2 linked regions of the Drosophila melanogaster genome follow. Changing the gene in region 2 together with the main gene of any one other region gives a genetic interaction. Each region holds a gene or a part of one and is shown on either strand. Other genes may lie near its edges.

What was found. A genetic interaction does not mean that the proteins touch.
Region 1: of Mhc (region 2) and rhea, changing one suppresses a phenotype caused by changing the other (phenotypic suppression), as found in Drosophila melanogaster (one study listed by BioGRID).

Annotation. Positions count from the first base shown.
Region 1 is NT_037436.4:8,543,111-8,548,020, reverse strand, and holds the start of rhea (rhea), read right to left. Parts: upstream 3,021-4,910; 5' UTR 2,932-3,020; intron 1,347-2,931; exon of another isoform or gene 1,146-1,346; intron 1-1,145.
Region 2 is NT_033779.5:16,765,038-16,769,749, forward strand, and holds the start of Mhc (myosin heavy chain), read left to right. Parts: upstream 1-1,696; 5' UTR 1,697-1,719; intron 1,720-1,888; exon of another isoform or gene 1,889-2,073; intron 2,074-2,739; exon of another isoform or gene 2,740-2,922; intron 2,923-3,546; 5' UTR 3,547-3,643; coding exon 3,644-3,847; intron 3,848-4,109; coding exon of another isoform or gene 4,110-4,253; intron 4,254-4,421; coding exon 4,422-4,565; intron 4,566-4,712. UniProt on the Drosophila melanogaster protein: Muscle contraction.

The sequences.
Region 1 (4,910 bases), on a different chromosome or scaffold from region 2:
ATTTGTGAAGTGTACTAATATCTTGGCGGATGCTGAGCGTCCCCACGTCTACGTCCGAAATATTTGGTAGATGTGGAGCCGATGCACTGCCCACACAGTGGAGCATGGAGTGAAAATGAGCTCCGATCTCGATTTCTTTATGTTTCCGAAGCGTGTTTATGTGGCGGGCATTCCAAAACCGAAGCCCACTGCTAATAAGGTCGAAACGCTCGAAAAAGTGAGAGAGACTGAAAATAACAACAGCTTTAAACGAGCGCATTGACATTTCGAGATAATGGATAAATAATATACAAAATACGCCCACAAAATGGAGCGACGGCGAAATTTGCCAAACAATCGGACAAAAAATGTGTAGAAAACAGGACAAAAGCCAGAGAAATTATGACAAAACATCGAAAGACGCGAGATATTTAAATCGGTGAAGAGAAGAGCGAGGAAAGAGCGTAACAAAAAAAAACAATAAATCTACGTACAGATACCAAACAAATCTTAGCGTACGTTGTATCTTAAAGATAAATCGCATTTGTGGAGGAGGGGAGTGGGAGGCCAGCCGCCAGCTGCTAGGCAAGCAAGAAATATAGAATGAAATATCTATATGTTTGTGTACACAGAGAATAATATAGTATTTTTTTGATAAACAGTAATATAAATAATGCAGTACTTCTTGATTACATAATCAAATACTATACATTGTTGTTGAATGGAACCCTTTGCTCAGGTTTATATCCATATACAAATACAAAAAAAAGCATCATCGTGAAAAGCGAATTATGCTAATCTGACTAGTCCTAAGATTTCGCTAGCACGTCATAAGATATAGCCTAGTGATCTATTATAATCCAAATTTTTTCTCTGTGGACCAGCGTAGTCAGGGGCAGACATCAAACGGCAGACGTCGACGCTGGCGCCGGCAGCGCGATGAGGTAATTTTCAGCTTGTTTTCTAAAACGCTCGACATCCGAAATGGGGAAAAGGGTTTTCCGATGGGTTTTTGGCGCGCATCGCGCAGGCGCAACGTGCATTTGGCGTTTGAACTTAGTTACACAATGGAACTGCCTTTTTGTGGCACATATTCCACTCGGAATGGATAAAAATAACACCATATGTCACACACTTATGACCGCGCACTCTCGTCATGTATATACCTTCTTTAATTCCCACAATTGGGCTGGAAACTCTTTTGATATTTGAACTTGAACGATATGCACGATATGCGATATTCATATATGTACGAATCGCCTATACATATATATGGGTAGATATATGTATATATATATATATTTCAATAGCGATATCGGGCGCGGCACAATCGAACGAATTGGCACCGACGACGGACGAAACTCGAATGAGCGGGCCATAGAAGCGAGTGGTTCGCTCGGTTCCATGGGCAGTGTGAGCAGCATGAGCAACAGATGGGAGAGCCGCGAAGAGAGCCACCTGCTGCTAGGCTTCTCTCCTCTCTGATTCTTCCGATTCTCCTGATCGCCGTCTGCAAATGTAAACAAAACAAAAGGTGCCAGCCAGAGGGAGGGCGGTGAAATGAAGGGGCAGCGGAGGAGAAGGTAGTGGCCACAAGGTGATGGACCCGTGCCAGTGGTGACTAATCTTTTGTTGCCCAACTTATGGCTCTTTCTTTCTTCTCAAAAGTGAGCAGAGAGGAAGCGAGAAATTGGAAGAGGAAGTGCGCTTAGTCACATGGGGTTTTCTAAGAAATGGACATTACTCCTGCTTTTCAAGGGCTAAGCTAGTCAAGCGATTGGAGCGTTGTAAGTATTAGTATTTTGAAATGTTTTGGTAATGACGTTTTGTTTTGATGATGTTATATGACCCAAACATTTCTTATCTATAATATCAATGACTCTTTGACGGACTAGATTATTCCCCAAAAGGAATGCTTCTAAACAATCAACAATATTAACGTAATCTTTATGGGTTCAAATCTCTATAGATACTATAATCTAAACAGGACCAGTCTCTTTTTAGGAAAGTATCTGCATTTAAAACTCTTACACAAACAGAATACATGAGAAATTTCAATCTCAGTTGAAATAATTGAATACAACAGTTTCCAAAAACGTGCATAAACAAAGGAGGCAAAATAATAGCCTGTTGACTTCAATTAGGTCCAATTATTGACGCAATTGAGGGCCTGATCCCGGGAAGAGTGAATCTCTATGCCACTGACAGCGGGATGTAGGCACGAGTCTTGTGGGTCCTCGTCTCGGATCTTTGAGGGTTGCAGTTGCACAGCTAACTCCACAATTAACTTGAGAATTGAAGGCAATTGCCAACTCCCGCGAATCCGGCGCTTCTTCTTCTTCTTCTTCAGCAACCGGGGGTTATCTTATCGCGTATGGAATGTACCCCATATACATATACACCATGCTATTCTGCACGCTCATCCAGCTGCTCAGATAAAGCCGTCAAACCAAACCAACTGCTGTGCTGATAATGCGAGGCAGTCGCAGTTGGACTCTCGTTAATTGAATTATATTCGCAGCTTTGGCTAAAAAAAAAATGTTGCACTTTAATTAGCATAAAACGTAGACGATGCTTACAAGCAAACAAACGAACAAACATACAAATGCGGGCGTTCCCTTTTTTTGCCCCCTTTTGTTGTTACACTGGAAACTTGGTTAAAAGGGCGGAATTCGCGTGACCGACAAAAACAAATGTGCGGGACATGTGGGAGAGACCAAAATCCGGACAGTCGGCGCCAACAACTGGGGGTAGGGATAACGATGATGACTCCACCCCGGAGGAGCACCCACTAGGCGGCAACAACAAAATGTGCGAACGAATCGAAATGAGTTCTTGTTGGCCAGGCCGCAGCTGAATCTCCACTGGCTTTGTTTGACGCGTTTTCATGCCGCGGGAAAGGGGCTTTAAACTGATTTGTGCACTTGGGGTTTTAAACATTGGTTAACTTACAGAAACACACGGCGAAAAGGGCTTAAAGAGAGCTAAAATCGAGTAAATAAAACTAACACTTTACAAAATATTCCGTAGTTAAGACAGTGTGACCGTGCGTCAAGCAGCTATCGATAAGTCATTGCGGCTATCGGAACCAATTAGCGTTTGGGTCACATAATTACAAAATAAATAAAAAATATATAAATTTACAAGTTCTAATCATAGTTTGCCTATACTTCTATAATATTTGAAATTACTACGGCAAGCAAAAAGTAGTCTGCACACAGAGCTGTTATGCCAATGGCAGACTGTTAAGTGCAGGGTCACCCCAAATGTAAAGGCATGAGCGCCAAATTTAAAATAAAACCCCCAACTAATGCAGTCTAACTAAAACAAGGCTTAAAGATTAAGCGATTTGTAGTCGAATCCTATAAAAACAACATATCCACATGATTAATGAAGGTTACAAGCCCCACCAAAGCGCACCCCCACACAAACTTGATAAATTTGTCTGGCTTTCCTGAATTTTCTCCGAGACGATCATCGTTTCCGTTTTGATTTCGGCGATTGGAGGGCAACCAAGTGTGCAACTTACAACCCTCAGAAAATAGACGAGCAATCTAAGGGCCGAAAAACAAAAACTAGCCAAAATCATAAAAATAAGCAAGCGAATTCATGACTTCGCCAAAGTCAACGGACCGCACATAGCGCGCGTCTTTGGGGGCCCTTTCACTGGGGTTGCTTTCCCTATAAGGCAGCGAAATAAAAATAAATTTAATGTTCCTGTTTTTTTCCCTTCTCCTTTCTCGACTTGTCAAGGATATCATATGCGCGAATACATGGGTATATGTGTACGCGTAATTTATGCTGCAAAACATCTCGAGCATAAACAGGAAACAAGCGTCCACGGTCCTTCTTTCGCAACACTCTTAAAAAATGAGAAGTAATTAAAGACAAGTTGCAAAATTATCAAAGGGGGGGATAAACATTCCTTTTGCTACTATCAAACTTGAATTTAATTATTGGAAATTTCAAGAGAAACATTTTAAAGCGAACTTTCAGAAAACCTTCATACATAAAACACTATATTCTTCATATAAAAATTTCTCTCTGTGCACAATGCCCGCCCCTGCGCGCTTGAGAAATTTCTTGAAACGAAGTCAAGTTCGTGGCTTGGGCGCAAATTCAATTAATTTCAATCGAACGCCTGTCGTTCTGGGCATCCGGCATTGGGCATTGGGCATTGAGCATTGATGTCCCGCGATTCGAGGCCTGCCAAACCGATACGCAGATAGAAGATGCAGGATGTGCAGATATGGACTCACCCCTCGGGCCGATAAATCTCGGAACTGGCACACTCGCTTTACACACACGCCCGTTATGACTGCTGGCCAAGGAGGAGCAAGCGAAATGGATGAGCAGAACGCATCGACATGTGTCCTGGTGCTCCTGCTGCGTCATTGCTTTAGTTCCGGTTGAGTTTGTGCCAGCGCTCGCCAAGATTTATGTCACTTTGTTGGCCCAACAAAGAGGCCAGGGAGTTTGGTTTTCGGTAATGGCAAATAAAAACCCGATTCGCAAATCCTTTCCTCGAGTGACCCACTTGGGATTTGGGACTTGGGACTGACCAGCAGCGAGGAGCAACGCTAATTGAGCGATCTTCCGGCTGGCTAATGGGTTAAACCGGCCAAGCCGAATGCCCATATATCATGTGCTTGGGCCGTGATAATTTCGGCATTTTATCAACCAAAATTTAGAGGGTTCTTGACTCTGCCGGAGATTTATGGCCATCTAATTGAGTTTGTAGTTTTCCGAATGCATTTCTGGTTTCTAGTTGCGGATGAATCTGAGCTCTTTGGAGACGAATAAATTGGTTGAAATATAATAAGTTTTTTTCATATTTTAAGTACAACAAAAACTAGAAAAACTTGAAAAACGTAGAAATTTATGATGACAAGAAGTTTGAGTGTTTTCAAAAGAACTAATTGCTTGAAATT
Region 2 (4,712 bases):
ATAACCCCAAAATAATTTATTGTCAGGTGCTAAATTGTTGTTTGTTGTTCTTGGAATTTGTTTTAAATGCTCAATTTATGTTTTTGTCTTTTTGCCCACAATTCTGCTCGACAATGTCACAGATTTTGTTTCAGAAACTTAGCAAAAAGTATTATAATTTTATATGTGAGAAAAGACTAGAGAGCAGCAAACCCTGCACCGAAAATAAAGGAAAAAAACACTCACACTTGAATGAGAACTGAAATCTTTTTCAAACTATAAATATTCCTCAAAAAATGTTTGAAAGTTGTTTTTGTCCGAATTCATGAGTTGTTTTTTTGCGTATTCTTTTTCCGCTACACAATAATCATTGTTAAATATTGAATATTCAAGACGGACCAACTCATTACGAAAAGTATTTGTCGAAAATACCTTGCAGTGGGTGTATATACATTTATCATATAATTCTTTGCCAAAAATGTTGCACATGAAATTTTGTAATTTTGCTTAAAATTATGAATAATTTCTGTGTCGGAATTTGACATCGTTGTAAGAGGGGAGACTATTTCAATTCTGTTGGCATTTATCATAATTCTCTTTGTCAGCATTATAGATTTGATAAATTCTCGACAAATCGCTACAACACGAATTTCATAATGCACTCGTATTTGCAATCGTATTTGTATTGGATTTTAGCATTGAAACCTAAAGATTTTCGCATCGCATTGCTCTGAAGGACGCCGACTACATTGATTTGATGTGGCATTTCTCTGTCTATCTATCTATATCTAAAGTATCTCTTCAACTATGTGTTTTATTTCGTTTTTTTTGCGTGCATTGCAATTGCTTGCATGTTCTAGCCCATCTATGTTATTTTGAAGTTCACATCATTACTTTTGGCGGACATGTGCTTGCTATGGCCGATCCTTAGGCTAGATAGATCATCAATCATTAACTCAAAGGATCGGGTTTTTTCGTTCTACAACTGAACGATGACCAAACGAATGTTTGTAGCCATTGATAGCATACGATCGGTCTTCTCGAACAGCTGTTTAGCCACTGATCGTAAAGTGATCGCAGATTAGGAGGAAAACCACATAGCGCCGCCTGATCGCAAGCATTCCCCCTGTATTCCACCCACATTGGTGCCAGATCGGATTGGCATTGAGGTGACCAAAAACCAAAACCAGAACAAAAAGCGAAAAATGATCACCGAGAAAAACAAATAAAGATCCCACCATGCCATGCCATACACACATGTGTGCGTCTAGAAATGATATGTGAAATAAGTAAAAAGAAAGCTCCCCTTGGAAAGAGCGAGGGATTCCGGCGGAGAAGAATTGCCTCACGGCGGAAAAGTTGTCATTGAAATGAATTTTACTATTTGACTAATGGGAGAATTGCGAGAGAGCCTACGCAATGGCAATCGTCGGAGAAGGAGCTTTCCGCTCTCGATTCCGCAACGATCCTGATTGCATCATATGCTCACACATATACCATATCCACCATCCCGCAATCCCCCATAGAAATGCCCACTTGCTAGAGAAGAGGAATAGGAATCAGAGCAGCCAAGTGCTAGACCGAAAAAGGGAGCAAGAAAAACCGAAACAGAAACAGCGCCACGCACACCGATCGTCGAATCGAAAAGCTTTCGGGGTCTTACGGGATCCATGGGTATCAAGTTGCCCCGTATAAAAGGCAAGTTTACCGGTTGCACGGTTCAGAACGGCTTTCGAGCGCGTAAGTGCAACACCTTTGATGTGCGATCTCTGATTTTTGGATATTACCACCCAGCAGCAGTAGCGGTAGCAGCAGCATCAGCGGCAGCAGCAACAATTTGACCTTTTGGTCAAAAAGCATAAAACTAAAATAATTATTACTACCTATATATATTTATATATGCAACAAAATCGAGAAATTTAAAAAAGTGTGTGTGTGGTGCTTTAACTACGATCCGAGCGAAAACGGATCTATTAAAACTCTGTGACAATCAGAACAGTGAACCGGAATACCTCGGATTATCGTATCGAATTGGATTACAAATAACAATCTTTTCTTAGGAAGTACATCAGTTACTTAACATAACCTATAGGCGTTAATTTGTTTTCTGAGAAGTATGCAACTATCTTCAACTTCTTGTGTAACAAATCTTTGACTTTCGATCATATCAGCGAAAAAATCTGAAAGTGAAGTAACAAGGATATAAGGAAACTTCTTTCTTACTTTTAGGACTCTCACAAAAAACTAGTTTATCCTTTCTCGCCCAAGAATTTTGGAATAAAAGACTTTCATCGTTCTAAATTTCGACTACTTAAAAAATTCTAAAGCAAATAGATCATTTAAATGTCAGAAAGAGACAGCCAGCTGTTACTTCATCAAATGAAAAATTCGTGTTTCGATGTGAGTTCGAAATGCTGTAATAGCCATTTCGAATTACTGGCGAAATGATTTCATACACAAATACCTGTGTGGCCGAGACATATGCGTATGCATACTATAGAAAATAGATTTAGAATACTCGAATTCGTTGTCGGCTCATATACATGGGCGAAATAATTTCGAATATGTTTTAAAAATAACCAAAGACATTAGAAAGAGATCGCCAATACTTATACATTATGTCTATGTGTGCCATGTGGTAGCATGAGCCAAAAAGCTTCTCGAAATTACGAATTACATATAGACGAATATGTATGTGACTTTAGTTTCGAAATAATTTCGAGAATTTTAAAAATAACGCATTCGTTAAAAGTTCGCGTCAATTCGAATCGAATTTTCGATTGTCGATTTAGTGTGGATTGTCGAAAATCGTTCCGCCTTCGAAGTTTACTGAAAGGAATCATTGCGATCTCGTGAATTGCTTGTATGAGAACACGCCACCATATCGAGATACCTGTTCAAAATATCGAAATCGCGTTCCAAACGGTAGTAGTTACCAGTTGAGTGAGTTGTGGTGACAGTTTAACCTCTCTACATTTGTAATAATAAGCATTGTTTTGGCGTATCAATAGTCTGTAGATTTTTTCACAAAGAAACCTGGAGAAATGTACACAAATATCTAAATGAAAATTGGCGTTACGTAACAAATACCAACGCCCCGAAAATCCGTATATATGCAAAGCATTCTGATATATATATATATAAGTGGTATACATATACATATTCGTATCGGATCCGTGATCTATATTTAGGCGACAACCCACACAATTCACTTGTTGTCTGTTTATAACAAAAACAACAACACAAGCACCGACCAGGCCTAATTAACTTTGAGGTGTGAGATAAAATCAAAGCCACACATAAATAAATATCCGGTTACGGTAACGGGAATTTCGAAAGCGCGAAACGGGAAAAATGTTCATATTTGGAAATCGAAATTAAATTTCGAAATCCTATCCACGCACACACGCGTAGAACTGTTATAGTGTCCGCTATTGCTGCTGCTGTCAAAATGGGTCAAAAGCATAAAATCCATAAAAGAATCAGACTTCGAAACAAAATTCCAAAAATAGTATGCTTTTCTGAGAACCATATAATAAATATTATTTTTCTTTTGTATATTTACAGGGAAGTTTTGGGCTCACGACGCGATTAACAAAGAAATTTTGAAAAGTCCCAATATTATTTTTCGAGTTTTTAAGTTTCTAAACGAAATTTAAGCAAGATGCCGAAGCCAGTCGCAAATCAGGAGGATGAGGATCCCACCCCATACCTGTTCGTGTCTTTGGAGCAAAGGCGTATCGATCAATCGAAACCCTATGACTCGAAGAAGTCTTGCTGGATCCCCGACGAGAAGGAGGGTTATCTCCTTGGTGAGATCAAGGCCACCAAGGGCGATATCGTCTCCGTTGGTCTGCAGGGTGGAGAGGTAAAGTCATCGTCTACACGAGGCTTCAGCATAAAAAAAAAAAAAAAAAAGCTATTGAAGAGTCTTATGGTCGACCTAAAGTGTTAGTCAATTGTTACCCAATGGGAAAATCTTCTTGGTACTACTACTACTACTACAAGAAGGGTTTTTCAATGGATAGCATAAGACTGGGACTTTGTCATGACCTCATACACTTCAATAGCTTATAATGTAGCCACAAAATTAGAATGAAACTATAGATTTCGCCTACATATACGATTAGGTACGAGATATCAAATCCGAGAAGGTGGAAAAAGTCAATCCACCAAAATTCGAAAAAATTGAAGATATGGCCGACATGACCGTGCTTAACACTCCTTGCGTTTTGCACAATCTGCGTCAGCGTTACTATGCTAAGCTCATCTACGTAAGTGTTGTACTGCCAGAAACTCACTAATGTATGGGTATCTCTTCTCTCTCTCTCTCAATCTCAAAAACGAACTGCTAACCCAACGTCTAACCAACAAATGTTGTACAAAAACTAAACATAACCAATCGAACTGAATCCGACAAACCGAACGAAAATGATAAACAGACACGAGACTTAAAGAAAGATCTGCTCCAGCAAGTGAACCCCCCGAAATACGAAAAAGCCGAGGATATGTCCAACTTGACATACCTTAACGATGCCTCTGTGCTCCATAACTTGAGACAGAGATACTACAACAAGCTGATCTACGTAAGTAATTGCCGATCAAGGGTGGCACACAAGTATGCGTTCTATGTTCTTACCCAACCGCTTATCTACCGCCAATCACTCACACTTATGAAAAAAAGAAAAACATCCCAAAATTTTTCAAAATTCGATTAGAGCTGCAACTAGTCT